4 linked regions of the Sus scrofa genome follow. The protein of the gene in region 3 binds, or shares a complex with, the protein of the main gene of each other region. Links are inferred from orthologs where the notes say so. Each region holds a gene or a part of one and is shown on either strand. Other genes may lie near its edges.

Region 1 (7,681 bases), on a different chromosome or scaffold from region 3:
CACAGGGAAGAGGCTCACTCTCAGCCCAAATCTCCTGAAAGCTATGGCCTAGCAAAGAGGCAGAGACATTCTAGTACAGCCTGAAAAAGGCAGGAGGAAGGGTCTCCCCAGCAGCTGGCCTGGGGGACCAGGATGAATCATCCAAATGACAAATCCAGAACATGGTCGTCACCCCACCACCACCACCACCAGGAGCACATGACTGAGGAGTGACAGATGTAGTTGTCAGAGGCCCTCCCTCCTGGATCTCTGGGACACCACCCCACATTCTCAGTCCCCTGAGACCCCTCCCGCCACGATGCCCACCCACAAGGCTCCCTACGTACAACTTAGGCCCCCTCCTCTGAGAACACCCTCACAGGCTCTCACATTCATGAGTCTGGCTGCCAAAATCCAGCCCAGAGGATCCTGGGAAAGGGACCAATCCTTTCCCTGCAGCCCCTGCACCCTCCACCAACAGCCCCACCTCCTAGAGCTGCTCCTCTGCACCTCTCCAGACTGGGCCTGGAAGACAATGGGCCACAGCCGGCTCTCCCCGCTCTATTCAACCCTCCCTGGCATTCGGCCACCTGGCCCAGGGGCCCTAGGCCCCCAACTCAGCCAAGCAGCTCCACCTCCCATTTCTCGTGCCGGCTTCTGGGAATCCCCAGCTGCCGGCATTTCACACCGGCTGCTGCTCCCCATGCCCTGCTCATCACAGTTTCCCACGACTTTCCCTCGCCACATCACATGCGCCCTTTTCTCCAGATTCAGCTCCCCCCAGCACCTTCACCAGGAAGGAACCCTATAGCCTTGCAAACCCTCAAAGCCCTGTTCTCTGAATCCTCTACTTCCCTCTTCACCCGGATCCTTCCACTGCCCTTCTCAGCCCCTTCATTCCTTCAGTCTCTCGGCTCAAGATTCCAAACCCAGCCAGGCCCACGCGGCCCCTCTTTAGGGCAGATTCGACTTGCCTTCTGCGACCACCTCCCCAGAGACCTCCCCCTCGGAGGCCTTGAAAGGTCTTGGTAGGCTGGAGTCTTCTCCCTGCTCCAGACCAGCAAGTCCCTTTCCCGCAATCCCTCCCGATCCCCAGCCTTGGGCCCTGAGATGCCAGGTGTGCCTAACACCTCTCCAGGCCCTGCCCCAGGGCGCCGCCCCCTCAGCCCCGCCCCCAGCCGCTGGCGCCTCACCTGAGACCTCGGCACCTGCGGGAAGAGGTTGAGTGTGGTGGGTCGCTTAGGCCGGTATGTGTCCCCGCCGCCCGGGCCCTGGCTCTGGCCGCGGGGCGCTGTCTCCTGGCGGGGCTCGGCCTCGGGCGGCCCCGCTCCCGGACGCCGCGCCGCGCGCTCCTCCTCGTCCTCTTCTTCGTCGTCCTCCGCGCCGGGAGTGTCCCCCGTCGCGTCGATCAAGTCCATCTGCAGCATCTCCGCCTGCAGCCGGCTCCCCCCGCCGCCGCTGCCGCCGCCGCCGCCGCCGCCCCCAGACAGCAGCCCGGCGCGTGGGGGCTGCGTGGCGCGAACGGAGGGGCGTCAGGGGGCGGGGCCTGGGCGGGGCCGAGACCGCCGCGCACCGCCCCCCGCGCGGGCGAGTCCATTCCGCGGCGGCAAAGAGGGGGAGAGAGGGAGCCCCGCGAGAGGGAACCGTGCCCTCCTGCCCCCTCGAGGATGGGCAAGGCCGCCTCCTCCCCACGTCAGTCGGTGCCTTTCGCAGTCCATACCTCTCCCCTCTCCACTGTTCCCCGCTTCCCGATTCTTTGCACCCTCCCGTTCCCTTGGCAACGGCCAGTGACCTCATCCTGGTAGTAAGCCGAGCCCAGAGTGAGGTCACCACTGTTGCCATGGGGACGCAGGGTCACCAAGGAGTTCAGCCCCGCAAAGGATGGAGGTGGGGTTAGTATTTTGAGGAGGGCAGTGAGGAAAACGGAGGAACCGATCTTAGCCAGGGGAGGGAGAGCGGGAGGGAAGCAGTGCGGACAGGAGGACAGGAGGACCTGAGCGCGGCTGGAAGAGGGATGCTGAGCAAATGGGAGGCACCTGAAGAGGCAGTGGCATCCCCACCCTCCCCCGTCCTCAGGTTGAGGCCCCTCCAACCTGACATTTTCTCTCAGGCCAGCCTAACTTTGACAGTTAAGAGTCCCGTTTTAGTTCCAGCTCTGCCATGAACTCCCTGACACCTTGGAGAGATCCCCCGACTCTCCAGGTCCCTCACCAGTTAACTGCCTACCAGCTTCCCAGAGAGGTGAGGACTCACTGGCAATACTATGTGAAAGCCCCCTGGAGCTTGTCTAAGGCCCCACAGGGTACTGCCTCAGGGTCCTGCGGGTTGCAAGGACCACCCTCTCCCTCTTCAAGGCTCAGCTTGTGTAAGTCTGGGGAGAGCACAGTGTGGGAGTCCCCAACAGGTGTATGACCTTAGAGAAGCTATGCTGGTCCACAATAAATGGCCTTGGAGTTCCTGTTGTGGCACAGCGGTAAACGAATCCGACTAGTAACGATGAGGTGGCTGGTTTGATCCCTGGCCTCACTCAGTGGGTTAAGGATCCAGCGTTGCTGTGAGCTGTGGCGTAAGTCGCAGACGTGGCTCAGATCCCGCATGTGGCTCTGGCGAAGGCTGACCCCTAGCCTGGGAACCGCCACATGCCACGGGTGCGGCCCTGAAAAGCAAAAAAAAAAAAAAAAAAAAAAAAAGCCTCTCTCTCCATCCCTGCCTGGCCTAGCCAGAGGGTGGTGGGTTGGGGTACAGGGTACTGGAGGGTTAGCCTCACCCTTTGGTTTCCTTTGGCCTGGCAGAGCTTGCAGAATCTCTGGGGGCAAGAAAAGGTCAACACAGGCACCCCACCCAACTCACTGCAGCTCTCCTTTGCTAACCATTCCCCCAACACCGTGTCTACTAGGGCCACCCACCCTCCCAGGAGCTGAGAGAAGCTCTGGGCTCTGCAACCTAGACTTGTGCTTGCCTTCCCTCTCCTGGCTAGCAGCCCCTTCTTCCTGTTCTGGAAAGACAAGGGAGAATCCCCATCCAGCCCAGGATCCCCACCTCCTGTGGGATTCAGAACTCTGGGAGTGGGAGCCATCTGTCCTGTGACAAAGGCATGGGGCCCAAAGCAGCAGCAATGTTGGATTAACCTTCCAGAGGCCTCCTTTGTGGGCCAGAGAGGGTCTGCGAGGCTGTGGGGTGTGCTTGGTGCAGTGGTGGCCAAGGGAGTGCCTTGGCTCTTTTGTCCTGCCCCAAAGCACTGCAGGTTCTGCCAGACTCCACCCTGCTCTGCCTCAGGACTTCTGCCATGGCCGCTCTGGAAAGGAATTAGGGGAGTCCCAAACCTTCCCTTAATTCTGGCCCTAACTGCTACTGTCCTAGACCTCAAGACTTCCTGCTCTCTTCCTTCTGGGCAGTTGAAGGAGCTGCTTCCTGCCTTTGCCCTTGGCAAAATATATAAATAATTTAAAAAATCTGAGCCATCAAGATAGGAGCCAAGCATCACACTGCATGTTTCCTGCATGTTATTTCATTTAATGAGAATGCCACGCAGACGCGGAAAGCCCCTCTAGATATAGAAGCGCTCTCACTCCTGTCCCTACCCATTCTGCCACCCCACTCAGGGGCTCCTGAGAGCCCGCCCTTACCCGTAAGGACAGGGTGTCTTTGCACTGCAGGCTGATGCCACACTCATCAGTGATCTCGGAAAGGTCTTCATCTTCAAACTCCTCCAGGCTGATGTCATGGGTGAGCCTGATGGGGACAGAAAGCCAGAGTTACCACTCAAGGGACTGTTGTCAGCGGACTGAGGCCTTCTGATGTCTCCCTAATAGCTCTTCCAAGGGACAGCCCCTCGAAGGCAGATCGCAGCCCCCAGAGGATGGGACCTGGGCTCCCCCTGCACCAGTGCAAGGGGTACTGAACAGAAAGGGAAAGAGTTTGGGGCTCGAGTCAAAAGGCAGGCCTCCGGGGGGGGGGGGCAGTGGAAAGGGAGGCCCCGGGTTATTCCAGCTCCTCTGGGCTGGGAGATGTCCACCCTGCTGCCAAGCAGGAGGCCCTGCCTAGAAGGCCCAGCTGGTCAGAGCTGAGGCTCTGCCAGAGAAATGGCTTCCAGGGTCAAGGCAGGTGCCAAGGCCAGTTCAGCCACAGAGGGGACAGAGAGAGATGAGAAGAGTCTCCAAAGGATGCCTGGAGTGGGGGTTCCCTGTACAATCTGTGCCGTGACCAAACCTGAGGTACTGGCAGAGGCCCTGCTCCACCTTGGAGCAGCACTCCATGTCCCCAGCCCAGGAAGTCCCATGCCTCATAAGCCCTGGGAGCGAGGCACGGGAATGCAGGGGTCAATGTGGGTGGTTTTAGCTGTTCTAGGAAAGACCGTGCCCCATTCTGTTCTTGGTCCCATCAGCGCACACCCCCAATCCTCCTGCCCCAGCCTCTGGGCCCTGAACAGCGGGGGTCAGGGAAGGTGGAGGTGGCCTGGGCTCAGAGGCAGACCCAAGCGCTTCAGCGCTTCAGCATCGAATCTCTAACTGGGTGTCCTGGGACCCTCTCCCCACCCCCCCACCCCACCCCCACCCACCGGCCCGCCCTAAAAGCCCCCCAGGGCGGGGCTGTCCCAGCCACTGAGCTCCCTGCGGGTCCCCTCACCTCTCCAGCCCCCCAGCCCCAGACACTCTGCAGGCTTCAATGTGGGAGGGACACTGGGAGAATTCTGCTAAGGAAGTTGGGGAGAATTGAGTCTTTTCCTCAATAAGACGAGGCGATTGAGGCACACAGCAAGGGAGACCCCCCGGTCCAAGGTCACTTAGGAAAGGTCACGGGCTCAGCCCCAGGGGAACCTCGGAGGCCCACACCCCGGCCTCTTGCCTCAACCCGACCAACAGAGACCCAGAGCTCAGTGGAGCTCCCCCCTCCCCCACCGGTCCCCGCACCCCTACCAGCGCTCCCACTGATCCTCCAACCAGCTGTCATTGTCTGGGCTCGAATCCATCTTCAGCACCAGCTGCATGGAGAGCCCTGCCCGGCCCGGGGGCTGCAGAGCCCCGGGGCCGCCCTCTCATGCCCAGAAGGGTGGGGGGGCCAGGGCTCGGGGCAGGGCTGGGGCCTCGGGCCTCCACAGCCTGGGCCTGCCTTTCTGCGTCCTGCCCGCTGCAGACGCCCGGGGAGCTCATTAAAAATAGATGGGCTGGGGGAAGAGGCAGCGGTTGCGGACCGGCCTGGCCCCAGCTCTTCCCAGCCAGCCTTCAGCTGCAGGCAGCTTCCTCCCCCGGCCTTTGCGCTGCCGCTGCCGTTGTCGCCTCCCCCGCGGGATCAGGTTACTGCAATCGATGCTACCGGCTCCACCTGCCCTTCCAATGCCCCTGTCGGGGGATGGGGTGGCCCCCCTCCCTGGTCCAGGCTTCTAAGCAGATGGCAGAAATCTGGGATATTTCCCCCCAAAAGCCAGCCCCTGATCTGCTTTAAAGGGCCAGCACCACAATTAGGGTTCACGGTGGCCAGACTGGGGGAGGGGGTTCTGAAATTCTCCAGAAGTGGATGCCCCATCTCCACAGCTACTCGCTCAGCCCCCACACCCCATCAGGGAGGTTTCTGTGGGCCCAGGCGGCGTCCACACAGGGCTGCCTGGGGTGGGTCGGGGCTGCTTCTATTGCCTGCCTGAGTGCAGCCAGAACCCTGCCCCCTTCTTGGGGCTTCAGACTTCAGCACCCACCCAGGAAGTGCCTAGAGGCACAGGCCAGGGCGAGGGGTGTGCGGGCCCTGGAGGGAAGGGAGGGAAGGAGTCTCCTGCCACTGCGGGGCGGGGCGACATAAGCCGGGAGGCCCCTAGAGGGAATGGCAAGGGGCACAGTGGGATTCTGACCAGCGCCAGGGGGCTGGATGGACAAAGTGCTCTTTCAGGCCCCTTCTGACCTGGAGCCCGAGGATGGTGGCTTCCCAGGGCTGGGGGTGGGCATGGTGTGGAATCAGGGGTCTCTGGGGAGGGAGCCCAGCCCGAAGCCAGGGCAGCCCTGCTCTGTCCGGCTGGTGCAGGGTGGCATCTCTGGCCCTGGGAGGAGAACCCAGAGGTGGGCACTAAGCAGATGGTCAATGCACACTGGCCGCCTGGCCAGACCCAGAGAGGGCAGCCCTGCCACTCAGCCAGCACCGGACAGCTGCAGGACCATGGGGATGTCTGACCCAGAGGTGCCCGATCTGTGTCTGCCCATCCTCAGTCAAGCTCCTGCATCTTCTGTCCCTGGCCTTCCCCACCAGCCGGCCTGCACCGCCTGAAACACTGCTCTTCTGTCCTCCACTCAAAACCCTCCAGGATTCCCTGCTAGCGGCCAACTCCTCGGCCTGGCATTCAAGATCTGCAGCTCCGTGTGGGACTGCCTGTCTCTCGCACCCACCTCCCCAGAGTCTAACCCAGCGTCTGGGTGGAGCACGTGGCAGGATCTCAACCTCTGCCTGCTGGTGGAAGGCTCAGATAAGCCTGCTCCTCCAGGAAGCCCTCCTGGTCCCCTGTCATTTCCCTCACTTGTGGTTGGTGTCACCATCTGCATGGAGGCATGGCAGGGTCTGAGAGCAGACAGGACTCAGCCTGCATCAGACACACACCCCCCAGGCAGCTCAGGGGTACATGGAGCCCACACCCCCTGCTCTGCATCCAGCAGATGATGAACCCAGTGCAGTCTGGAGGGCAGAGCTGGGACGGTCATCTCCCATGCACTAGGTGCTCAGGAGATGTCTGTTAAGGACAGCCTCGGTCTCCACTGGCTCCTCTCAAACCAACGTGTTCGGGGAAGACCTGCAGGCTCTGGCTTGGACATGGGCTGGGGCTTCTCAGCTCATCCCCACACGCCCGATCTTAGCATCAGCCGATATTCCCACTTCCTGGGACAGCAGGTCTGGGTCGGGCAGGGGCAGCTGTATCAGCCACTCCAGATGACGGACAGAGGGTACTGAGGGCAACGGCAGAGAGCATGGGCTGGGGCGCAAAAGCCTGCACTTGATCCCTGGCTCCAGTGGAACGGGTTAAGGGAGCTCCTTAATCTTACTTTTTCTCATAACCCAGGCAGGACGGTAGAATGGCCGCCATATCAGGTTTGGAGACAAGAGATCAAATCCTGACTCCCTCACTTACAAGGAGCGGCCGCCCCATCTCCTGAGCGGCAGGCGGGGTGCTCTAGCCTCCAGCCTTCTTTATCCTCGGCATCTCCCTTCATCCTCACTCCAGCTTTGGAAGAGCCATAAGCCCATTTTACAGATGAGGAGCACCAAAGCCCAGCCATAAGCTGTCGGACGCCTGCAGTTTCCCCACATACAACATGAGGCCCCCCGTACCTGGGGGCTGGTGAAGTGTCTGTGAATTGCAGGGTGCTGTGAGGAGGCCTGGCTGATCACGGAGGCCCCTCTGCAACTCATCCCCCTCCCCGGCCCCACCCCCACCCTTTCCTCCTGCTTCTCCAGATGCCAGATGTTCTGGGTCTCTCAGCCCAAGCCCCCGAGAGCCTTCACGGAGGGAAAGCTAAGCAGACCCTTGGTCCCTCTGAGCTCAAGGAGGGCAACTGCAGGGAGAAAGGAGGGATGGATTGAGGGAGGAGGGAGAGAAGGAGGGGGGAGGGAAGAGGGAGGAGGGAAGGAAGGAGGGAGGGAGGGGGGAGGGAAGGAAGGATGGAGGGAGGGAGGAAGGAGGAAGGAAGGAGGGATGGAGGGAGAGGAGGACGGGGGAGGGAAGGAGGGA
Region 2 (7,681 bases), on a different chromosome or scaffold from region 3:
GCCATACTTGTTGGAAAAAAACAAAAATAAGGCCTTAGGGAGTTCCCATCACAGCTCAGTGGTTAATGAACCCAACTAGTAACCATGAGGTTGCAGGTTCGATCCCTGGCCTCACTCAGTGGGTTAAGAATCTGGTGTTGACGTGAGCTGTGGTGTAGGTCACAGATGTGGCTGGGATCCCATCTTGCTGTGGCTGTGGCGTAGGCCAGAGGCTACAGCTCCGATTAGACACCTAGCCTGGGAACCTCTATATGCCTCAGGTGCGGCCCTAAAAAGACAAAAGACAAACAACAACAACAACAACAACAACAAAACTGAAGGCCTGCCTTTGTGTCTCAGGTGCTTTTAAAAAATAAAAATAATAACAATAGTGACCTTATTAAAAGGTCAGTAGACTTTTTTTTACTCTTGATGATCATCAGAAACATATGCAAGAAAAATCTTAAAATTTAAGATGACATTTGCTGAATTTCTGAGTACTCAAGAAGTTTTCATTAAATAAATAACAATTGGTAGAAGTAACTGTTAAATTAGGCTGAGGCAAGATATGAGCATGAATTGATCTACAAAACCAAAACTATTTCCAGGTTATTCCCAAAGGTAGGTAGATTTGTTTTGTACTTATATAATTGATATTGATGATAATGACAATGCAAGCACTGAAAATTCTTGAATCAAACTTATACATAGAACAATCAAATATATTGGCTGAACACATGAGTATATACTGATTTCACTTCTACGAAGTTCTATTACAACTGCTAGTGACAAATATCAGAAGAATTGAGGGAGGTGGACTGACTGGGAAGGGAGATAAACTTTCTGGGTAGATGTTAATGTTTTATACCATAACAGGGATGGGAGTTATATGAATGCACTTAAACTGTAGGGTTAACATCAGTCCACTTCAATCTACGTAAATTTTACATTAAGAAAGGCTTATTACAAAATTATTAAGGTTAGAGAGTGGTCTGAAGTATAGATGAAACAAGAATGGCAGTTATATTGCTAATAATTGAGCTGGGTGATGGGGATGTGGGGGTTCACTGACTTTGTGTATGTTTGAAATCTTCCATAATTAGAAGCTTAAAAAAATGTAATAGGCTAATTTCCAAAGTAGACTAATTTCTGATCTTTTTATTCAACTAAAACAGGGCAATCTTATTTACTATCCCAATTAAAATAGGCAATCACCTAACTAAGGCTATTTTATATATTAACAAAATTCTAATAATAAATTTAATTGGGCTATTGGATTTTTAGGTGGGGCAACCTGTGACTCTCCATGCTATATTTTGGGCTTTCAACCAATGACTGTTTTTCATATATAAATTTTTGAAATATACCTTTGTTGTTTTTTAATATACAAGCATACAAAACACTTTATTTATTTATTTATTTATTTATTTTGTCTTTTTGCCTTTTCTAGGGCCACTCCCACGGCATATGAAGGTTCCTAGGCTAGGGGTCTAATCAGAGCTGTAGCCACAGGCCTATGCCAAAGCCACAGCAACAGGGGATCCGAGCCTACACCACAGCTCACGGCAACGCCAGATCCCCAACCCACTGAGCAAGGGCAGGGACCGAACCCGCAACCTCATGGTTCCTAGTCGGATTCGTTAACCACTGCACCACTACGGGAACTCCAAAACACTTTTATTCTTATTAATTTCCCAGTGACCTAAAAGAAAGTTATTCAGGGAAGTAAATTTAACAGTTTTTGCAAATATGGCCTGCTCTTGTAGCAAAGAATATTTCTTTAAATCTGATTTGTTCCTTTTGAATTAATTTGTGGGGAGACGTGTCCACTGAATATGTAAAAATATTTAAAATGCAGTGTACAACAGGATCACTAACTTCTATTTCTACTCAGTTCTAATTGAACTTTTCATTAGAACAGTAATGTTTAAAGTAGGAAATGTAAAAAACATTCCCTTAAGCTCTTCTGCTATCAATTGAAAAAGATTCATCTTCCTATTTCCGTGGCTTTGACCTAAACATGCTGTTATGTGAAAAATTCCTCTCTTGGGTTTTCTAGTTCTCTCACAATAATCCATAACCAGCTAATTTTTATATTCTTCAACATTATTCATTCAAATGGTATAGAAGTTATTAGCGGCCATTTTAGATTGATTATTTGCACTAATGGAGAACAGCAGTAAAAAATTTAAAGCCTGACAATAACACATAACAGGTTTTATGTGTAAAGATTTATATTGTTAATATAGTGCCTAGCACAGAACTGAAACCAATAGGTAATTAATTACCAATTTTCTAAGGATACATTCATTGACTGATGTTAAAGGGAATTAGCCCTAAAGTATATTAGACTTTAGAAGGAAGAATTATATGATTTAAAACAACAACAACAACAAAACAAGCTTGCCTACCCTTGCCCCAAAGTAGCAGCTTCAAATCTTCTTCCAAGAAAATTAGCAAGTTAGTAGGATTTTGTGCTAAGGAGACCCTAGAAATTAAAGCGTAATTCCACCCCCCTTTTAAAAAACAGATAAAGGAAAATGAGAATTTGATTAGGGGTAGTGAATAGCAGAATTAGGATTAAAACGATCATGTTCATCCCTTAACACCAATTTCTTAGTGTCTGAAACACAACTCAAAAATATGGTTTTCCTTTTATATATTATGTACAGTGTTTATTAACTTGTATACTATTTCAGAATTTTTGTTAGTACTGTTCTACTCAATTGTATCACTGTTTAAAACACTTATTATATCAGCACTGTCTCCAGATGATATACATCTAGTTTCAGCTGCAATATCCCTAAGCCTCCAGCAGGAGGAGAGTTTGTCTAAAAAGCCACACCAAAAACAAAAACCAACAAGAACTAGAACTTTACTCCCAATCTATCTGTTTGTTTTAAAAGTACCACTAACCTGTCACTATGTTAATGAAAGCTTTCCTTTTCCAAACTTTCTAGTTCTTCTATAATATAAATATAGTCCACAGTTTTATAAAACTTGATCTAAATTGTGCATTTGAATTGAACTTTAATGGAAAAAACTAATTCAAAACAGGCTCAAGGAAAATGCACACAACAAATACAATCTTGCTTACCATTTTTGCTTCTGACTGTACTGGCTGAGGAGAGGAAGGACCTGGAATTCCTGGAACACTAGGCACCATGGTGACTGGTCGAACAAGCTATGCAAAAGATATTGAAAAAGAACTGCTTGAGAATATATTCAAGAGATTTGTACTTTACTTACACAGTGGCTACTATAATACTTTACAAATTATAACAATATATATTAATATATGCCAATATATTATATACATTAAATATAATTATTGGAGACCTCAGAATCAGAAAACTGCATCTCTATATTAACCCTTTATTGATCTTAATCCTACTTTAGCCTTCAAAAGTTAATTTCTATGAGATACTTGCTTCCCTAATCTTTAATTTTCATTATTTTTTCAATGATTCCTTCTTTTTTCTTTTGGTCTTTTTGCCATTTCTTGGGCCGCTCCTGCAGCATATGGAGGTTCCCAGGCTAGGGGTCGAATCGGAGCCATAGCCGCTGGCGTACGCCAGAGCCACAGCAACACAGGATCCAAGCCACATCTGCAACCTACACCACAGCTCACAGCAATGCCAGATCCTTAACCCACTGAGCAAGGGCAGGGATCGAACCTGCACTCTCATGGTTCCTAGTTGAATTTGTTAACCACTGTGCCACATGGGAACTCCTCAATGATTTCTTCTTATAGAAAATCACAATATTCAAAGTGACTGGTTCAAAATTTCTCACAGATCTGTCACACTTCCATTTTGAATGAAAAAGGAAAAAATGTCAAAACTTTTAGTAATTGGGCATAAAAAATAATTTCAACAATGAATTTTTTTTCTAAAATACATATATGTAAAATTTCTAAAATACATAAATGAAAGTTCTTTGATATATTAATATAATGCATAATGACAAAGGAAAACCTGATTATTTCTAATAATAATAATAATGATATGGGGAGTTCCCATCCTGGCTCAGGGGAAACACACCATGAGGATGCAGGTTCAATCCCTGGCCCTGCTCAGGGGGTTAAGGATCTGGCGTTACCATGAGCTGTTGCGTAGGTCGCAGACAAGGCTTGGATCTGGCGTTGCTGTGGCTGTGGCGAAGGCCAGCTCCAATTCGACCCCTAGCCTGGGAACCTCCATGTGCCGTGAGAGTGGCCCTAAAAAAAATATGGAACATGTTTTTCCACTGTCTTTTGCCTTTTTTAAAAAAACTAATCTCAACAATGAATGATTAGTTATTGTATACCTAAAGGATATTTCTTTTCCATTTCAGTTTCTTTCATTGCAGTTACATTTAACAAGATAACCATATAATCCCAGATACAGGTCATCTTTTTCCCCTCAAAAATATCCTGAGAAAAGAGGAAGTAGTCACCTTACGTTTGAGTCCTTATAAAGTCTCTCAAATAATGCATTTTGAACAGCACAATTCTGTCTGAAGACAACACATCCTGAAATTATTTCAATCAATGCTTAGATACTTAGAAAAGTCAATTAGAAAAACCAATTAAAAAAGAAATATTTAACATTAATTTTAGTAATATTCTTGAAGATATAATTTCACCAAAAGTGTTGGATGTTACTGTAAGGAGGCAGTTATACGAGGAGTTCCCACTGTGGTACAGTAGGTTAATGACCCAGCTTGTGTCTGTACAAGGCCCTGGTTCAGTCCCCAGGCTGATGTAGTGGGTAAAAAGATCTGCAGCTGTGGTGAAGTTTGCAGATGCAGCTTGGATTTGATCCCTGGCTCAGGAACTTCCACATGCTGTGGAGGTGACTGGCCCCCCCTTCTCCCCCCAAAAAAATCCCCCAAAATTATAGAACAAATGATTATATTGAACTGATCAGAAATATCTACCTACAAGGTAAAAGAAGAAACTGTCTTTATATTGTATGTGTGAATATTAGGGCTTGGTATTAAGATTTCCCAGGTTATAATAATAACTGATTAAAAAAATGTTAAATTGAAATTAATTAGATGAGGATAAAAATATTGTGTTTTGGAAAATTGTGCTGGATTTCTTAAAAATTGGTTCTAATAATGAAAACTTCAATGTCAAAGACACATGTGAAGTATCTGAGTAAAAACAGTTTCATAAAATGTGAGAATAGGAAAAAAGCATTATTTCTAAGTTAATGTTAATTCAAAGAATATGCTTTTAAATATTCACTAAATTATTAAATATTACAAGTAGATATTTAACTATTATCTATTGTTTTTCTAACATGCTCCTCAGAACTTTTGTTTTAGAACTTCTCATTAGGAAAGTGGGGGACTTTCTACTAGACCATTTAGATTTTCACACGCTTGGGACAGCAAAGGAATTTTGTAAACCCAACTTGACCATAAAAGTTCACAGAGAGTGCTTTTCTAAACAACTTCTATAACAATCAAAATACTGTGAGTTACCTGATAAATGTTCCAGTATAAATATCTTCATAAAGAATAAAAAAAAAATCTGTGTTAGTTTGAATTCTACATTCTAGCAAATTCAAATGGGTTGAGCAAGGAATAAAGTTCTTAATACCAGAAATATAAGGAAAACAATTAGCATTTTGAGGATGGAAAAATGTTTTCTACCAATTATGTCTGCCTTGAAAGGTAAATGCTATCACAAAAAATATCAGTGAGTAAATACTTACCACTAATAAGTATTTCATTGGATTCCCTTTCATAAAACTAATCAGGCAGCCCCAGGTGTATTTTCTGATTACAAAGATCAGTTTGTAATAAAGAAAAGATTTAAATAGTCTAAATTTCAAACTTACTGGGACTGCAGTTGGAACATGCACATTAGAACTTGTAATTGATGCAGGAATAGCAACAGGCATGGTTTGTCCATTAGGAAGATGTAACAGAAGAGGAAATGGGCCTGGTACAGGACTAAGAAAATAACAGAAGGGTAATTATAAAAAACAAATCCATGTCAATAATCTCTAAAACTATAAGAGTATTTCTATTTATTATCACTTAAAAATAAATTTTCTAGAGAAAGACAAACACTATATGAATTCACTTATATGTGGAATCTAAAAAACAAAACATGAACAAACATAACAAAACAGAAACAGAACAGTCAGGCGGCTGCCAGAGGGAGGGACGGTAGAGGGATGAGAGAAACTAAGAGGTACAAACTTCCAGTTACAAAATTAATGAGTCAGAGGGATGAGATGCACAGTGTAGGGAACACAGTCACTAATAATGTAATATCATCTTTGTATGGTAATAAAGGTAGTCAAAAGGTACAAACTTCCAGTTATAAGATAAATAAGTACCAGGGATGTAATGTACAACATGATCAATGTAATTCACACTGTTGTACATTATATATGAAAGCTGTTAAAATAAGAGAGTAAATCCTAAGAGTTCTCATCACAAGGAAAAAAATATTTTTTAATTTTGAATCTGTACAAGATGAAATATATTCACTAAACTTACTGTTGGGAATACTCCATAATGTATGTAAGTCAAATTATTACGCTGTACACCTTAAATGTATATACTGCTATATGTCAACTGCAGGTGACCCTTGAACAACACAGGGGTTGGTGCACTGATCCTATGTATGGTGAAAAATATGAGTGGAACTTCCAGTTGGCCCTCTGTATCTGCAGATGCAACCAAGTTCAGATTAAATTGTATAGTAGTATGTATTTGTTGAAAAAAATCTGCCTTTAAGTGGACCCATGCAGTTCAAAAAGTGCTGTTCAAGGTTCTACCATATATTTCAATAAAACTGAACAAGAAAAAAAAAAACCCTGCAGCTCCAGGCTAAGGAAAATGCCCATTTGACAGATGAAACCTGATACCATCTTTCTCATATAATGAACAAAATACCCACAAAAAATTATACATGGCATATACATACCACTCAACTAAAAACAAAAATTTTCTAACCACTACAAAGCACACTGTAAAATCTATTTTAACTATATCTTATATGCAAAATGTATATAAACAGTGTAGAAAAAAATGGAAAAAGTTATGAATTTACTTAGGATCATCTCCAATATGTTAGATGAGGAAAGTTCCTACCCAGAAAACTCTTGAGAGCTACCTCTAAGAACTAAAAGAAATGTTACCTGGTGATAAAAGTAATTTTATGTATTTTGTGTGAAACAGCATGAAAATAAGAGATCATCTTAAAAATCACATTTTATATTGATTTGTTTTTAAAATTATGTTTTCTAGTTTATTAGATAATACTTATATTTATTAAAAAAAAGACTACCCAAGTACTTTTTCTAAAATTCAAAGCATGTAAAATATGATCAACACACAAATATCTTAGGACAAATTTTGACAAGAAAAACTTAATTCATATAATTCAATAATTGGCCCAAATCACTTACACAATTGGCCTGTTGGAAGATGGTGCCTGGGTGATGACAGTACTTGAGGTTGGTGAAGGTACTGCCTGCTGAATAATTACGCTTGAGTCAGAACTTGTAAGCAGCACATTGGGAACCTGTAATGATGCTGGACGAACAATAGCTGATGTGGGTTGTGCAGTTTGTGCCAAAGGTACTTCCTATTTAATAGTGAGACAGAGGAAGAATGCAATTTAAAGTGCAATTCATGTTACCTTAGTGAACAGAATATATTTTTAAAAACAACCACAAACATAATACTTAATACC
Region 3 (7,681 bases):
GGCAAGAAGACAGCTATCTCCAAGTCAGGAAGGGAGTTATTCTCACCAGAAACTGAATTTACTGGTGCCTTGGTCCTGGACTTCTAACCTCCAAAACTGTGAGAAAAAAAATTTTATTATTTAAGCCACCCAGTCTGTGGTATTTTGTTATAGCACCCCAAATAGACTAATACAACCTAAATAAATGGAAAGACCTCCTTTGTTCATCAATTAGAATACAAATATAGTTAAGATGGCAAAACTACCCAATCTACAGAGTTAATGAAATTCTTATTAAAATTTCGATGGCCTTTTCTGCAGAAATGGAAAAGCTGATACTCAAATTCATATGGAATCACAAGGGGCCCTAAGTAGTCAAAATGATTGAGAAAGAATAAAGTTGGTGGATTCACACTTTCCCATTTCAAAATTTACTACAAAGTTACAGTGATTAAAATAATGTGGTACTGACATAAGCACAGGCACAAAGACCAATGAAACAGAGAACTAAGAATCCAGAAATAAAACCACATGTCCATGGCCAGCTGAATTTCAACAAGGGTGCCAAGACCATTCAAGGAGAAAACAATAGTCTCTTTAATAAACGGTGCTTGGGACAATGGGATTTCCATAAGCAGATGAATGAAGTTGGTACCTTATTTCACACAATATACAAAAATTAACTCAAGATGGGTCAAAGACCTAAATGTAAGAGCTGAAACTATAAAACTCTTAGATGAAAAACTAAGGGTAAATCTTAATGACGTCAGATTTGACAATGGATTCTTACATACATTTGACACTAAAAGTACAAGCAACCAAAGAAAAAATAAACTAACTTCATGAAAATTAAAAAATATGTGTCAAAAGAGATCAAGAAAGTGAAAAGAAGTGTTTCCCCTTGTGGCTCAGCAGGTTAAGAACCCAACATAGTGTCTGTGAGGATGAGGGTTAAAGATCTGGCATTGGGAGTTCCCGTCGTGGTGCAGTGGTTAACGAATCCGACTAGGAACCATGAGGTTGCGGGTTCAATCCCTGCCCTTGCTCAGTGGGTTAACGATCTGGCGTTGCCGTGAGCTGTGGTGTAGGTTGCAGACGCGGCTCGGATCCCGTGTTGCTGTGGCTCTGGCATAGGCCGGTGGCTACAGCTCCGATTGGACTCCTAGCCTGGGGACGTCCATATGCCGCAGGAGCAGCCCAAGAAATGGCAAAAAAAAAAAAAAAAAAAAAAAAAAGACAAATAAATAAATAAATTAATTAATTAATTAAAAAAAAAAAAAAAGATCTGGCATTGCCACGAGCTGCTGGCATAGGTCACAGAAGTGGCTTGGATCCGGCACTGGTGTGGCTGTGGCTGTGACTGTGGCTGGCAGCTGCAGTTCCAGTTCAATCCCTAGCCCCAAGAACTTTCACATGCCACAGGTGTAGCCCTAGAAAAAAAGAAAGTGAAAGGACAACATACAAACATTTACAAATTACTTATCTGATAAGGATCTAGTATTCAAAATATATAAAGAACTCTAACAACTCAACAACAAATAGACAAACAACCCAACTAAAAAATGAGCAAAAGGCTTGACATTTCTCCCAAGAAGATATTCAAGGAGTTTCCACTGCGGCTCAGTGGTAACCTGAGTAGTATCTATAAGGATGTGTGTTTGATCCCTGACCTCACTCAGTGGGTTAAAGACCTTGTATTGCCGTGAGCTGAGGTGTAGGTCACAGAGGCAGCTAGGATCCTGTGTTGCTGTGGCTGTGGTGTAGGCCAGCAGCTGCAGCTCCAATTCGCCCCCTAGCCTGGGAACTTCCATAGGCTGTAGGTTCAGCCCTAAAAAACAAACAGAAATATATCCAAACAGCCAACAAACATGAAAAGATGCTTAATGTCATTAGAGGAATGCAAATCAAAAACCACAATGAGACACAACTTCATACTAGGATGGCTAGAATGAAAAAGTCATTATTAGCAAAGATTGGAACTTTGATGCACTGTTTCTGGGAATGTAAAATGGGGTAGCCACTGTGGAAAACCAATTTGGTGGTTCCTCAGAAAGTTAAACATGACCTGCAATTCAACTCCTAGGTAGATATCTCAAAGAACTGAAAACAAAAACTCAAACAAATACATGTACCTTAGTGTTCATAACAGTACTATCCACACAAAAGCTAAAAGGTAGAAATAACTCGATGTCCACGAATGGATGAACAGATAAATAAAATGTGGTAAATACATACAAAAGAATATTAGACAGTCATAAAAAGGAATGAACTACTGATACATGCCTCAACGTGGACGGACTTGAAAATACCATGCTAAGTTAAAGAAACCAAACATAAGAGGTCAAAGAGGTCAGGTGTTATATGATTCCACTTATATGAAATATCCAGAAAAGGTAAATTCATTGACACAGAAAGCAGAATGGTAGATGACAGGGATTGGAGTAAAAGGGGAATGGGAGTGACTGCTTAATGGGTAGGCAGTTTTCGTTTGGGGAAATGCAATGAAATTATTTTGAAATTTGATACTGGTAGTAGTTGTACACTATTGTGAATGCACTAAATATCACTGAATTGTACACTTTAAGATGGTTAATTTTACATTACATGAATTTCACCTCAATGATTAAAAAGAGAATATGATTGTTTTTTTCTACTAACCCGATGAATAATTCCAGCAGAGTGAAGGTGCTTGATTCCACAAAGCATCTGATAGAGAAGGTAAGACATTCTTTCATGATCTAGTTCCATCTGAATCACTTGACAAAGATTTGCATCCATGAGCTCCATAACTATGTAACTTCATGGGTGAAAAAAGATGACAGCTAAAGTATACAGTAATAATTGAAGAGTAATATACTAAAAATTTTAATTATCATACTCACACATCTTGAAATTCTTCTAGGGATTTCTGTGGTGTGAAAACATTCAAAAGGCCAATTATCTGCAGTAAAAGCAGAGAAATGGGAAAATTAGAAATTACATTACTCAATATTTTCATTTGGGAACTGCAAATAAATGGATTTATTTATTTATTTTTATTGTTTATTTATTTATTTATTTTTTGCTTTTTAGAGTTGCGACTGCAGCATAATAAGGTTCCCAGGCTAAGGGTCCAATTGGAGCTACAGCTGCCAGCCTATGCCACAGCCATAGCAACATAGGATCTGAGCTGAATCTTCGACCTACACCACAGTTCATGGCAATGCCAGATCCGTAACCCACTGGGCGAGGTCAGGGATCAAACCGGCAACCTCATGGTTCCTAGTCGGATTTGTTTCTGCTGCACCAAAATGGAAACTCCGTGGATTTTTTTTTTCTTTTTTTTAAGCCACTCTCAAAGAGTTCTCTGGTGGCTCAGTGGGTTAAGGATGTGGTGTTGTCACTGCTGTGGTGTGGGTTCAATCCCTGGCCTGGGAACCTCCAGGTGCCATGAGTGCAGCCAAAAAAACAAACAAACAAAACACCTCTCAGTGTAAAATTTTTTCCAGACTTCTGTTCTAAGCTCAAGTAATCTCTCTTATTTTATACATTAAAACTTTATCAGGAGTTCCCACTGTAGCTCAGCGAATTACGAACCTGACTAGTATCCATGAGGACATGGGTTTGATCCCTGGCCTCACTCAGTGGGTTAAGGATCCAGCACTGCCAAAAGCCATGGTGTAGGTCACAGACAAGGCTCAAGGCCTGTGTTGCTGTGGCTGTGGCTGTGGCTGGCAACTGCAAATCTGATGTGAACTGCCCTAGCCTGGGTACTTCCATATCCTGAAAATGCGGCTCTGAAAAGCAAAACAAAACAAAAAACCCAAAGACAAACTTTATGGCCAGTGTATGGGGGCAAACAGTAGGGAAGCAGAGCAAAGAGGCTCTGTAAGGCAGTGAAAATACTCTGAATGATACTATAATGGCATACATTATGTCATTATACATCTGTCCAAACGTATAAAATGTACATCACAAGAGGGAACCCTAATGTAAACTATAGACTTCCAGTAATAAAGATATGTCAATGTAGGTCCACTAATTATAACAAATATACCATTCTGCTAGGAAATGTTAATAATCTGGGAAGCTATGCATGTGTGGGAGTAGGGGGGTATATGGGGTATCTCTGTACCTTCCTTTCAATTTTGTTGTGAATCTAAAAAAATAACCCTTAAAGATTATATCAACAGAGTATCTCAAGATCCATTCCATTAATGAACACTCAATTACCAAGGACCTACATTATATAATCCTCTACATAATTTGTAAGCAAATCTTAAACATCTTCTGTCAGCTCTTACCCAACTCCATACCTCTATATAATTGCAGTCCTTTTGCCCCTTGGTTTTTCTTAATATTACACTTTCCCAACTTTACTACTAGTCCATTAGTACATCCATAGGCATGTCCTCTCTACCACTATTCTGTCTTAATCTTTCTCCTTTATCTGTACCTTTTTCCTGGGTGGTATTATGTATATGTTCTTATCCAAACATCTCTATGGATAATTCCCAAATATGCATTAAAAGTCCCTGCTTAGCTTACGATTCTCAAATTTTCATTGCTATTCACATGACGCTTCATAAAACAATATAAAATTGAATTCATTATTGTTCCTACCCAAACCCCTTGCTTTTCCAGAGTGTCTTCTTTTACAATAGAAAGATAAAAATGACTTTTTACTTTTTTTTTCAATATTTGCACCATAATAAGTATTTAAAAGAATGCTATCCATTTTATCGTCAGTCTAAACTTCAACGTCTTCCTTCCACTCCCTGTGCTACTACACACACTGAGGATTCTAACACTGCTCATGCCATAATAACTTCTAACACTTGGTTCCCTAATGGTTTTCTGCAAGTCCAGCCACTATTTTACTGCCTCTACTATATGGTAATCAAAAGACCTGATCACATTACTTACTTTCTCAAAAACGTAATGCCAACAAAAAAATTCCGAAAGTCTCTGGCAGTACATTCAAAGCCTGCCATGACAGGACATCGACCCACTTCATCTCCTGCTAAGCCATACTAAATTAGTTTAATTTAGCCATACTAAATTAGTTTAAAGAATGTTGTTCTTTTAAAAAACTGTCAAGGCATTTAAACATACTATTCTCTATATTTGTCATTAACCTACTAACCTCTAACTACTAAACCTTCAAAACAGGCCACTTTTGTAGGGCTTGACAACCCTTAGTCCTTGACAGAGCTGAGTATTCTACTTGTCTCCACAATATCTTATGTTATAATGACATTTAACACCCTGTAGTATAGTCTTACTTCCACAACATCCTATTTCCCTTTATAATTGTGGCATATAGGAAAATACTTGACATATATTTTTGAAATGCCTATCTTTTATATTTAGGAATGGGAATGTTTTTCTCAATATAAACTTTATAAGGGCAGAATCTATGTTACTCATTTAAGCATAAAGCTTTGCTTATAGAAGCCATTCAAATATTTATTTGTTCAGTGAATAAATTCAGAAAAATAATTTTCAGATCAGAGAGTAGGAGTTCCTGTTATGGCACAGCAGAAACGAATCCAACTAGGAATCATGAGGTTGTGGGTTCAATTCCTGGCCTCACTCAGTGGATTAAGGATCCAGTGTTGCCGTGAGCTGTGATGTGGGTCGCAGACACAGCTCGGATCTGGCGTTGCTGTGGCTGTGGCGTAGGCCAGCGGCTACAGCTCCAATTGGACCCCTAGCCTAGGAACCTCCATATGCCGTGGGTGCAGTCCTAAAAAAGACAAAAGACCAAAAAAAAAAAAAAATCAGAGAGTAAAACAAATTTGTTTAAGACAGAGGAAATGATAATAAGTATCTAGTGGCTCTAAATGAATTCTTATCTCCTAAATAGAAGAATCATATATTGGACAGACTTGGAGAAACAGTAAAACTCTTCTAGTTAATATCTGGGAAATCCCAGAAGAGAAGAGATGTGCTAAAGATGAAAGGCACATAGAGATAGGAGATTAGTGGTTTCTTAGAGCTGAGGAGGATGGGAGATGGGGAAATGAAGGCTAAAAGAATGGGGTTTCTTTCTGAGGTGATAAAACTGTTCTAGAACTGACTGTGGCAACAGTCACACATTATCAGTGGATATACTAAAAGCCACTGAATTCTACACATTAAATGAGTTCGTTGTATGGTCTATGTGAACTGTATCTCAATAAAGCTGTTATGAAAAAGATTAAAATGGACAGGTGTCCTGCTTTTCAAAAATAGAAATAAAGAAAATCACATCGATCACAGACTGGACAAACAAAAGTCAAGGCCTGATTAAGTGGTGGTATATGACTACTTCAAAAGAAATAAAAATTACTAGGAACATGTAAAAATTCATTGAGAAACTTTATTTACTTCTGTGAGTAAAAACAACAAAAACAGCAGCAGATCAGAGAAATGCAACCAGATATAATATACGAAGATTTCAAAAAGGCATTTTTGAAAATGTCACTAATAATAATATCCTTGTGAATAGGTTGAAGAATTGGGGAGATAGGTGTAATTTTTTTTGTTAGACATGTAATTTTTGCAGTATACCCAAAGGTTACTAATGAATAATCCAACTAGTATGAAGGCATCTGAGCAAAACTGGTAAGTGAAGCCAACAAGTGAAAAATCAAAGAATGCATTCTCCAACAATCTAGTAAGATGAGCCAAATTTTACATATGAAATTGAATAGGGAGATATAGAACATACTATACTTATTCTCTAAAACCAAAAGAAAAAAAAGTAAAGACTGGGAAAGTCTGTGACAAAAAATAACTTGCTTAGATAATATGAGTCAAATAGTCTAATGGTGACCTGATTTCCAAACAGGATTACATAATGTCCATGGTTAAGAGATGACATGTCTCAGTTTCTCTCAGAGGATTCTATCATACATGCAGTAGTGTGTACTAGTTGACACAGCCAAGTGCACTGAGAGATAAATAACCAAGTTGAAAAGGAAACTCAAAACCATCTACGAAAAGAGTGGAAAATGCATGATATGAATGTACTTAGTACCACTGAATTGTGTAATAAAAACAGCTAGGAGAGTAAGTTTTATTATGTGTATTTTACAATTTTTTTTAAAAAAGTGGAAAACTAGACTTTTTAGACTAATGACAAAATGACTTGTATAGAACATAAAACTGTTGAAAAGGCAGGACATTATAAAAATATCCATCCATCAGGGAGTGGAAAAGTTCAATTATCATCATTCTTTTTCTCACCTTTAGATTGATATTCATTCACTGAAGAAGTACATTTTCAGTTTCTATTCTGTGCCAGCACTCTTCTATGTGCTAAGGGCACTGCCTGGATCAATCTGTGCCAACCCCATCAAAGGATTAACCATGTGAAACAAACTTTCCATTTAGTCCAGAGAACCATCTTTCTCGGCAATCAGTCATCTAAACCCTGGAGGTAGATGTTACTGGCCATCTCCCCAATGCAAAACCAAGGCAATGCCACAACCACTAATGCCACAAAACAGGCTGCAAGGGGTAAAAGGTGTTCTATTCCAGGGCAGGAGGCCACCAGCAAAACCCTGACAAGTAACATGCCTGGCTCCCATCTAGAGTAAGAATGACTGACACAACTTCTTTCCCACCACTGACGAATTTTAATTTTTATCCTATACTCTTTTTAAATTTTATTATTATTATTGTTATTTTGCTTTTTAGGGCCACACCCATGGCATATGGAGGTTCCCAAGCTAGG
Region 4 (6,898 bases), on a different chromosome or scaffold from region 3:
ATCTAACTTCAACTCAGAAGCCTTTCACAACCAAATGGCGTCACCTTTGATTCGGTTTCTTGTCCCTATTCCATCTGCTTGTACAGAAGGTAAACTTTTTATTCCTTTACTGCATGATTCTTTATGAACAGCCTGATGAGGCTAAGTTTCTAGCCTCATATGTCATCATGGGCAGTGTCATTTATAAGCAGAGCAGTGTTAGGATGTACTTGGCAGGGATGGAGAGGAGATTTTGGAATGACTCTTCCTTCCTTGGTTTTTCCTACAAGAATTAATAACCACCCACACACTACAATATACTGTGGATATTTATGTGGTTTTTCTTCTTCCTACCTTGTACCTATTCTGCATTCAATCCATCAAGAGACCTTTATCTGAGGTTGCCTGAGGTGCTACGCAGCAGTGTACGTCTGGCATTCGAGCTAAGATGTGTGTTCCCTGCGAATGACGGTAACACAGCTGACAACCTCAGCGCTTCGCTTTGAGCTGGATCCTCAGTCGGGCAGACAGAACAGGCCCCACCACTGCCTCCTTTCCCGCTTGGACGTGCTGCTCCCACCAGGTTTACTGCTGCAGAGAGAGGGCCTTTTCATGTTTATGTATAAACAGGTACCAGTTTTGATTTTATTTCATCGTATTAACATTCATGACACATCAAAATGAGAAATGCACGATTTAACCATTCAGCAGCTTGCCTTGCTCCAAAAGAACACTCTATTCATAATAAACATTTACACATTGCCACCAAACTTTACAAATGTCCTAAACCATTTCCCAGCATTTCTCACAGAGAAGTCTAGTTCTGCTCTTTCCGATCACCATTCTGTATCATCTGGTATCATCCAGGGCTCCCCTCTCTGACCCCACCCTGCAGAGGGCCAGCCACCAACCCGCCAGTGCTGTCCCTGCTGCGCCGGGGCGGGCCTGAAGCTGCCCATTGGGCAGGGCCGTCTGGACTCCAAGGACTGCTCATTTGCTGTTAGCCATCAAAGACTAAAGGCTGTCATGACCCCATCAGTCACAGGAAGGAAGGGGACCATGGCCAAGAGAAATCCCAAATGTTGAAAGGCCGGTTTTCCCCCAAACATCTCTTTAAAACCAAGTCCCGCCACCGTCCTGAAACATCCACTGGAGCCACTGCTTTCATTGCTGAAAAATGTTCCACGGTTGTGACCAGACTCTGGAAGTACATTCGGTGCGTGTGTACAAAACACATCAAAAACTACTCTGTCAAACCTGGATAATGTCTGATGACATCCAAACTTAAACGCATTTAGAAAAACGAAATCACCGAACAGAACTTTTCCCACATGGTGGTGACGCACTCCCGCCACAGTTGACTCCCCCATTTCATACCCCGTCACTGCCCGTCATAAATTTATGAGTAACCAGTTATGTTCTATGAAGCTTGTAATCGTCACGATCAAGTCAGTTTTGAATCATGTCATTCTATGCTGGTTTTAGCTGTCACCATAGGAAACATGAAGTCACATCCTACTCAAAGGACTGTCCATTTCTCACACGTAGAAAAACCTGAGATATGAGTCAGCAACTAGCTACACTTACAGTAAAGAACAACGCTGACACCCACCCGCCACCCTAAAAAAAAAAAAGCTGCTGACGTGAATTAAGGCTTCAAAACAGGACCAGACTGTAGCTGACAAAACTCAAGCCAGTAAGTTTCAAAGCAGGTAAGTACGGCCACTTGTGTACTGGTTCTAACCACCTCCTATTTTCAGCTGCCAGGATTGATTCCATACAGTGATTGTAGGTCACAGACGGAGACCCCTTGGTCCCGCTCCATTTTGATATGTCCCTTCTACTAAAAAAAAAAAAAAAAAAAAAAAAAAGCTGAGGATAGTTTCTGAGAAGAGCTTGGCTGTGTATTTCCCCTGTGTGTGCCATGCAACAGAATCCACCGTCTTTTCCTCCCCTTCCTGGCTGGTTCCGACCAGGCCTTGCTTCCTCACCCAGGCCTCTCTCAGCCCTAATGGGGACTCTGGAAATCCAAGGAAATCAGAGAAAGACCACCCTCGTCGCGTGCTGACGGGAAAAGCCACTGAGAAAACAGCAGTTTCCTGCTTCTCCTCAGCAGTCTGACCGTCTCTAATCCTTGCACAGTTTTCTCCCTCTTGGTCATTTCCTATAAAATTCTACCTCATCGGTCCATTTTCACAAAACACATCTGTGCAGGGGAACCGAAACAGAAAACTCGTGTGTCTGGTGTGGCTGAGAACTTGAGGGTGCTGCTGCTCTGCTACCCCATAAATTCACATCTGGCTTGAAAGCTAGTTAATCCTTATTGAAAGGATTAACAATCCCAGCTCGAACAATTCTTTGATTTATAAAGAGGGAGGTAGACTTGTTTAGCCTCCCGACCTTAGCTTAGATCACGCCGCCAAGACTCCCGGCTGTCACCTTGAATCCTAGAGAGCATCCCTTTCTTCACAAAGAGAAGAAGGAAGGAAGAATGAGCGACCTCCATCCAGGCCTGGCTGGAAACGTGTGCCCAGACGGTCGGAACTGGTCTGAAAGGTGTGACTAGCTACTCACCATGCCTAGAAACCGGGCCGCTGGACCTGGTAGTGGTGAACGCCCCCACTTTCTGCCTGAGGTACTGGGTTTGCTCTAAAGTTAATCTTAGCAAGGCCCCTGACGGTCGGTCAGCAGAACGATGCTCGCATCGCTTAGCTATCTTAAGGTGAGCTTGGATTTGTGAATCAGCTTGGGAGATGCTCGCTGCTCTCGGCTTTACCATTAGGTTCTGGTCCTAGTAGGGTCTCCCCACCTGACCCACAGGCTGGCTCAGTCTCAGTGCTAAGGTGCACTGCAGAAGGGACTGGACAGGACTAGTGTCTGAGATCGCTCTGTAGCACGACAAGAAAACAATGGGGGCTTCTGTCCCCTCACACCCCAACACAACTCGATTCACTACGATCAGCAGGATGTGCAACCCGCTGCACAGAAGTGTGTCACCTGTCGGGGGAGAGCGAGCACCTGCCCTTCCGCTGGCGTTGAGAGGAATACCAGCTGCGCTCTCAAATGCAGATGTTGGAAAGGACAACGGTGCTGATCCATCTTTTGCTTTTACACCAGAGCTCCACTTTCCAAAAATATATATGTATGTACATATATATATTTCAGATTTACAGGGAATAAGTTTTGTGAACAAGGACAGAACGGTCCAGAGAAGTCGCAGGTGCCTTGCTTCTCAGGAGACCTCGATGATCTCCATGCTGCCCGAGAAGCTCGACTGGCTGCCCACCTTCCCCAGCTCCTCCCGGGACCGCTTGTCTGACAGGATGCTCTCTCCAAACTCCATCTGGCAGCTTCTGCGTTTGAACTGCTTTTCAAAGGGGCTCTCCTCGTGCCAGCTGCGCCGGGAGTCGGCCCTGTCGCCGGGCTTCTGCCGCCTGCGCACGGAGTGGCCTGGGTCACCGCCGGTGGGCAGCTGGCTGCAGCTGTAGGCGGGGTAGCCGGTGGGGCCCCCGTAGACGGCCGAGGTGGAGTAGAAGCGAGAGGGCTCCGCGGCGAAATACCAGCTGCTGCTCAAGGCAGGGGTGGAGGTCGGGGGGGCCAGGATGTCAGAGTGCCAGCCCTTGAGGCCCAGCCCGGCGGCCGATGAGGCGAGGTGCTGCTGGCTGGCCGAGAGGCCGAGGAGGAAGCCGGCGTGGCAGTTGTCCTCCACGCTCCCGCTGCGGTGCAGGGGCGAGAAGAGGGGCCGCACCGGGTGCAGCCGCTTGCTGGGACCGTCGACGGGCCTGGGGGGCTGCGGCTCCTGGGGGAGGCCGGCCTCCTCCTTGTCGGGGCTGGCCTCCGGCGTCTGTTCCGACACCTCCTGCACCGGGGAGAACTGGCACGGCTTGCCCGCCCCGTCCAGCGCAGAGGGCGGCTTGTAGTACTCCAGGACCTCCTCTGTCGAGGGGAAGCCGTGCAGGGATGCGGCCACGCCGGCTGAGTACGACAACGACTTGATGTCCAGGGAGAAGGAGCGCTTGAGCCGCCCGCTGTCCTCTGGCCGGTCCGCGGGCAGGTGGAGCCCGTTGAGCGCCTGGACCAGAGGACTGTCCTCGGACGGTGGGGGCTGGCTGAGGGTGGGGAGCCCAGGCCGAGGCCCGGTCGCCTCTGAGGTAGTGGGGTGGGTGCAGGGCGGCCCGGGGGTGGGCTCGCCTCTCTGCCCACCGTCCGGGGGCACGGGGCCGGGCTCGCTGGGCTTCTCCAGGTGCAGCAGCTTCAGTCTGCTCTTGGACCCCGACGTGCCCGGCTGGGTCTTAATCTTCTTCTCGTAGTCCAGGAGCTGGCCCAGAAAGTTGAAGTTCGGGGATATAGTCGGTCTTTTTTCTTTCACAAATCTGTGACGAGAGGGAAAAAACAAAGACTTGAATTTGACAGCCACCTTTTATCTTTAAGGATGTTACTAGAGTTTGGCGGCGGGGGGTGGGGTGGGGTGGGCAGTTCAAGAGCTGCCCTGGTCGCTGCTGTGGCGTGGGGTCGATCCCTGGAGGGGCAACTTCTGGATCCCATGGGTGCCCCCCCCAAAGTTATTAAGCTATATCAAGTGAATGGATGACGTGGGGATTATTAGATCCTCCCAAGACCTTTGGAAGATGACTGGTTTGAAAGTCCAGGGAAACCATCAAGTAGAAGAGAAGGGCCTCTGCATGGGGGGAGAGCTTTAGAGCGTGTCCCTGGAGATACCAGAAAGAGGGGAGCCAGGCCCCTGAAGTTCTAAGGTTAGCCCCACTATTTTCAAGGACCCAAACTTCCGATGCAACTGGTAAGAGATGATTCTTTCCTCCCTACCTGGGACATCCCCACCCCCACCAACACTCCCATCACAAGGACAGCTGAAGGAGTTCCCTGGTGGCTGAGTGGGTTGAGGAGCCTCCATTGTCACTGCTGTGGCTCAGGTCGCTGCCGTGGCATGGGTTCGATCCCTGGCCCAGGAATTTCTGCATACCATGGGCACAGTGAAACCAAAAAAAAAAAAAAAAAAAAAGTAGAGCTGAACAGCCATGCCCCACCTTCGACTTGCCAGTGTCAAAGTCCCGCATGTCACTTCAAGACAGTTCACATTTTAAGTTAATGACCCAAAGAGAGGGTATCAGGTGGCCAGAGCATCAAAGCACACCCTTCTGAGTTCTTTCTCTATGCATTCAATGTGACAGCCAGCTAGGTACAAAGTGGCCTCTGTCTGCTAAGCATTATGCTAATGAGGGAACTGTAGTGTTTTCTCATTCGACCTTCAAAACTACCCTCTCTGTCTGGTGGGTGTAACTATCCCCATCAGAGAGGTACCCAAATTCCTTAAGTGACTTGCCCAAATCACAGAGCTACTAAAGGATGGGGATGGGATTCAAAACCAGCTCTAATGCCTGGGTTCCTTTCTGTAACCACCACGTTACACAAGAGTCATCAAGGGATCAAAACGTAATAAACAACTTTTTATGCTTCATGGTGGCAACAAAGACCCTGAGAACCAGTAGATTAATTCTTTAGTGGCCCCTGACCCTCGTGGACACTCAGCAGATGTAGGTGTGAAAATATACTGAAAATTTGTATTTGAATAAGGAAGGAAAGAGAAAAATCAAAAATAAGCTTCCTGGAAATCAAAGTAACCTAAAGCAAATGAACAAAGCCAGAAATAACAGGCTCAACTATGACGAATGTAAATACGGGGCCCTCGTGATAAGACCTTGTAACAGGATTAAACGGGTGCCTTTGTGCTGGTCTACAGGGCAGGAGGACCTTGGGGATGGGAGCCGGGGTGGAGGAGGCGGAGTGATGCAGGCACGGAGGACCTCCTTCCTCGAGGGAGAAGCTGTTCAGGTAGCTCGTTTCTTTTGTCCAAATTTTCCAACTTGAGAAAAGTCCATTTGTTACAACAAGCCTCCGTGTGCCTCTATTATTGATGCTTTATCACAGGTGAACTAACCACCCCTATCCAAGGAGACACAGAGGGCTCGGATTCAATGAATCCCTGAGTAAACCCAGCGCCTGGTGCTGCTGTCACTGCCACCTTCTAGTGGGGCGACCCCAGGAAACAGACGCTGTGAAAACCTGGCATGCAGGAAATTCTCCTTCACAAATGGAGTTCGACGACGATTTGGGCTTTTTCCTCACAGTAAAAGAGACTCAAGGTTTAAAGCACAGTAGGAATTCTATCATGAGTATTCTGCAGCATTTTTTTCTCATAGGTAAAAGCAGAACAAATGGTATTTCCCCAACTAGGGAAAGATATAAACTCACCTAACAGGATGGAGAGCTCCAGATTTGTTCCTAAACTTAAAAAGCAGCTGAGGATGAATGTGATACATGTGGAGGGACAATTAGTGCTAAGTTACAAAAATGCATGTTTCTCCAATCTTGGAAACACCTTTTAAAAAATCCCCAGTACCTGTAAAGCCTGTAACTAAAATCATCACAGTCTGCTTTCACGTGGTGACCCAGCCTCACGTCTCCTGGTGTCTCAGGTCCAATGAGAAGCTGGTCGCGCAGGACGCGTGCCTGTCCTCACCTGTAAGCTTCATCCAAGGACATGTCCATCCTCTTCATGATGTAGGCGATGGCGATGGTGGCGGAGCGAGAGATCCCTGCCAAGCAGTGCACCAGCACGCACCCGTTGGAGGCTTTTGCTTTCTCTGTGTGAGTCCAATTCAGAAAGGATGGCTAAGCACAACTTTTCTCAGCAGTGAAATCTTGTTTCCATTTACTCACACAGTGTCTTTCAGCGGGCAACTCAAAGCCCGACTCTGTACGTGGTGTTCCTTTCAATACTCGTTTAAGGAGGGAGGGGGAGATGAGTTTCCCACCATTTCCACAGAGAACTATCAAAGTCCAAATGTAGGAATAAGAAGCCATTTGTCCCTAACTCAGGTTGCCTCTTGTTCAGTACTTC

What was found.
Region 1: the proteins of MAPK8 (region 3) and MAPK8IP1 are in contact, whole or in part, in a crystal structure (PDB 3VUM), measured with the Homo sapiens proteins. The link is inferred for Sus scrofa from reciprocal best matches to the Homo sapiens genes MAPK8 and MAPK8IP1. Residues at the interface, in NP_001310257.1 of Homo sapiens: Lys83, Asp112, Ala113, Gln117, Val118, Met121, Leu123, Glu126, Arg127, Tyr130, Tyr133, Val159, Lys160, Ser161, Asp162, His286, Val323, Trp324, Asp326, Glu329; in NP_005447.1 of Homo sapiens: Arg157, Pro158, Lys159, Arg160, Pro161, Thr162, Thr163, Leu164, Asn165, Leu166.
Region 2: the proteins of MAPK8 (region 3) and ATF2 are in contact, whole or in part, in a crystal structure (PDB 6ZR5), measured with the Homo sapiens proteins. The link is inferred for Sus scrofa from reciprocal best matches to the Homo sapiens genes MAPK8 and ATF2. Residues at the interface, in NP_001310257.1 of Homo sapiens: Asp112, Ala113, Gln117, Val118, Met121, Glu126, Arg127, Tyr130, Leu131, Tyr133, Val159, Lys160, Ser161, Asp162, Cys163, Val323, Trp324, Asp326, Ser328, Glu329; in NP_001243019.1 of Homo sapiens: Phe36, Val44, Lys48, Met51, Thr52, Leu53, Lys54, Phe55, Gly56, Pro57.
Region 4: the proteins of MAPK8 (region 3) and DUSP16 are in contact, whole or in part, in a crystal structure (PDB 4YR8), measured with the Homo sapiens proteins. The link is inferred for Sus scrofa from reciprocal best matches to the Homo sapiens genes MAPK8 and DUSP16. Residues at the interface, in NP_001310257.1 of Homo sapiens: Arg189, Val196, Ile197, Leu198, Gly199, Asp229, Ile231, Trp234, Gln253, Thr255, Val256, Thr258, Tyr259, Val260, Asn262, Arg263; in NP_085143.1 of Homo sapiens: Phe215, Leu267, Asp268, Tyr271, Lys275, Pro279, Ile281, Ser282, Pro283, Asn284, Phe285, Asn286, Leu288, Gly289, Gln290, Leu292, Asp293.

What each region holds. Positions count from the first base shown.
Region 1 is NC_010444.4:16,568,855-16,576,535, forward strand, and holds part of MAPK8IP1 (C-Jun-amino-terminal kinase-interacting protein 1), read right to left. Parts: intron 5,271-7,681; exon of another isoform or gene 4,967-5,270; coding exon of another isoform or gene 4,896-4,966; intron 3,712-4,895; coding exon 3,606-3,711; intron 1,488-3,605; coding exon 1,173-1,487; intron 1-1,172. UniProt on the Homo sapiens protein: The JNK-interacting protein (JIP) group of scaffold proteins selectively mediates JNK signaling by aggregating specific components of the MAPK cascade to form a functional JNK signaling module. Required for JNK activation in response to excitotoxic stress.
Region 2 is NC_010457.5:81,014,865-81,022,545, forward strand, and holds part of ATF2 (cyclic AMP-dependent transcription factor ATF-2), read right to left. Parts: intron 7,574-7,681; coding exon 7,395-7,573; intron 5,926-7,394; coding exon 5,811-5,925; intron 3,164-5,810; coding exon 3,077-3,163; intron 1-3,076. UniProt on the Homo sapiens protein: Transcriptional activator which regulates the transcription of various genes, including those involved in anti-apoptosis, cell growth, and DNA damage response.
Region 3 is NC_010456.5:89,070,518-89,078,198, reverse strand, and holds part of MAPK8 (mitogen-activated protein kinase 8), read right to left. Parts: intron 2,921-7,681; coding exon 2,862-2,920; intron 2,777-2,861; coding exon 2,638-2,776; intron 1-2,637. UniProt on the Homo sapiens protein: Serine/threonine-protein kinase involved in various processes such as cell proliferation, differentiation, migration, transformation and programmed cell death.
Region 4 is NC_010447.5:59,955,533-59,962,430, reverse strand, and holds the end of DUSP16 (dual specificity protein phosphatase 16), read right to left. Parts: intron 6,642-6,898; coding exon 6,518-6,641; intron 4,353-6,517; coding exon 3,212-4,352; 3' UTR 595-3,211; downstream 1-594. UniProt on the Homo sapiens protein: Dual specificity protein phosphatase involved in the inactivation of MAP kinases. Dephosphorylates MAPK10 bound to ARRB2.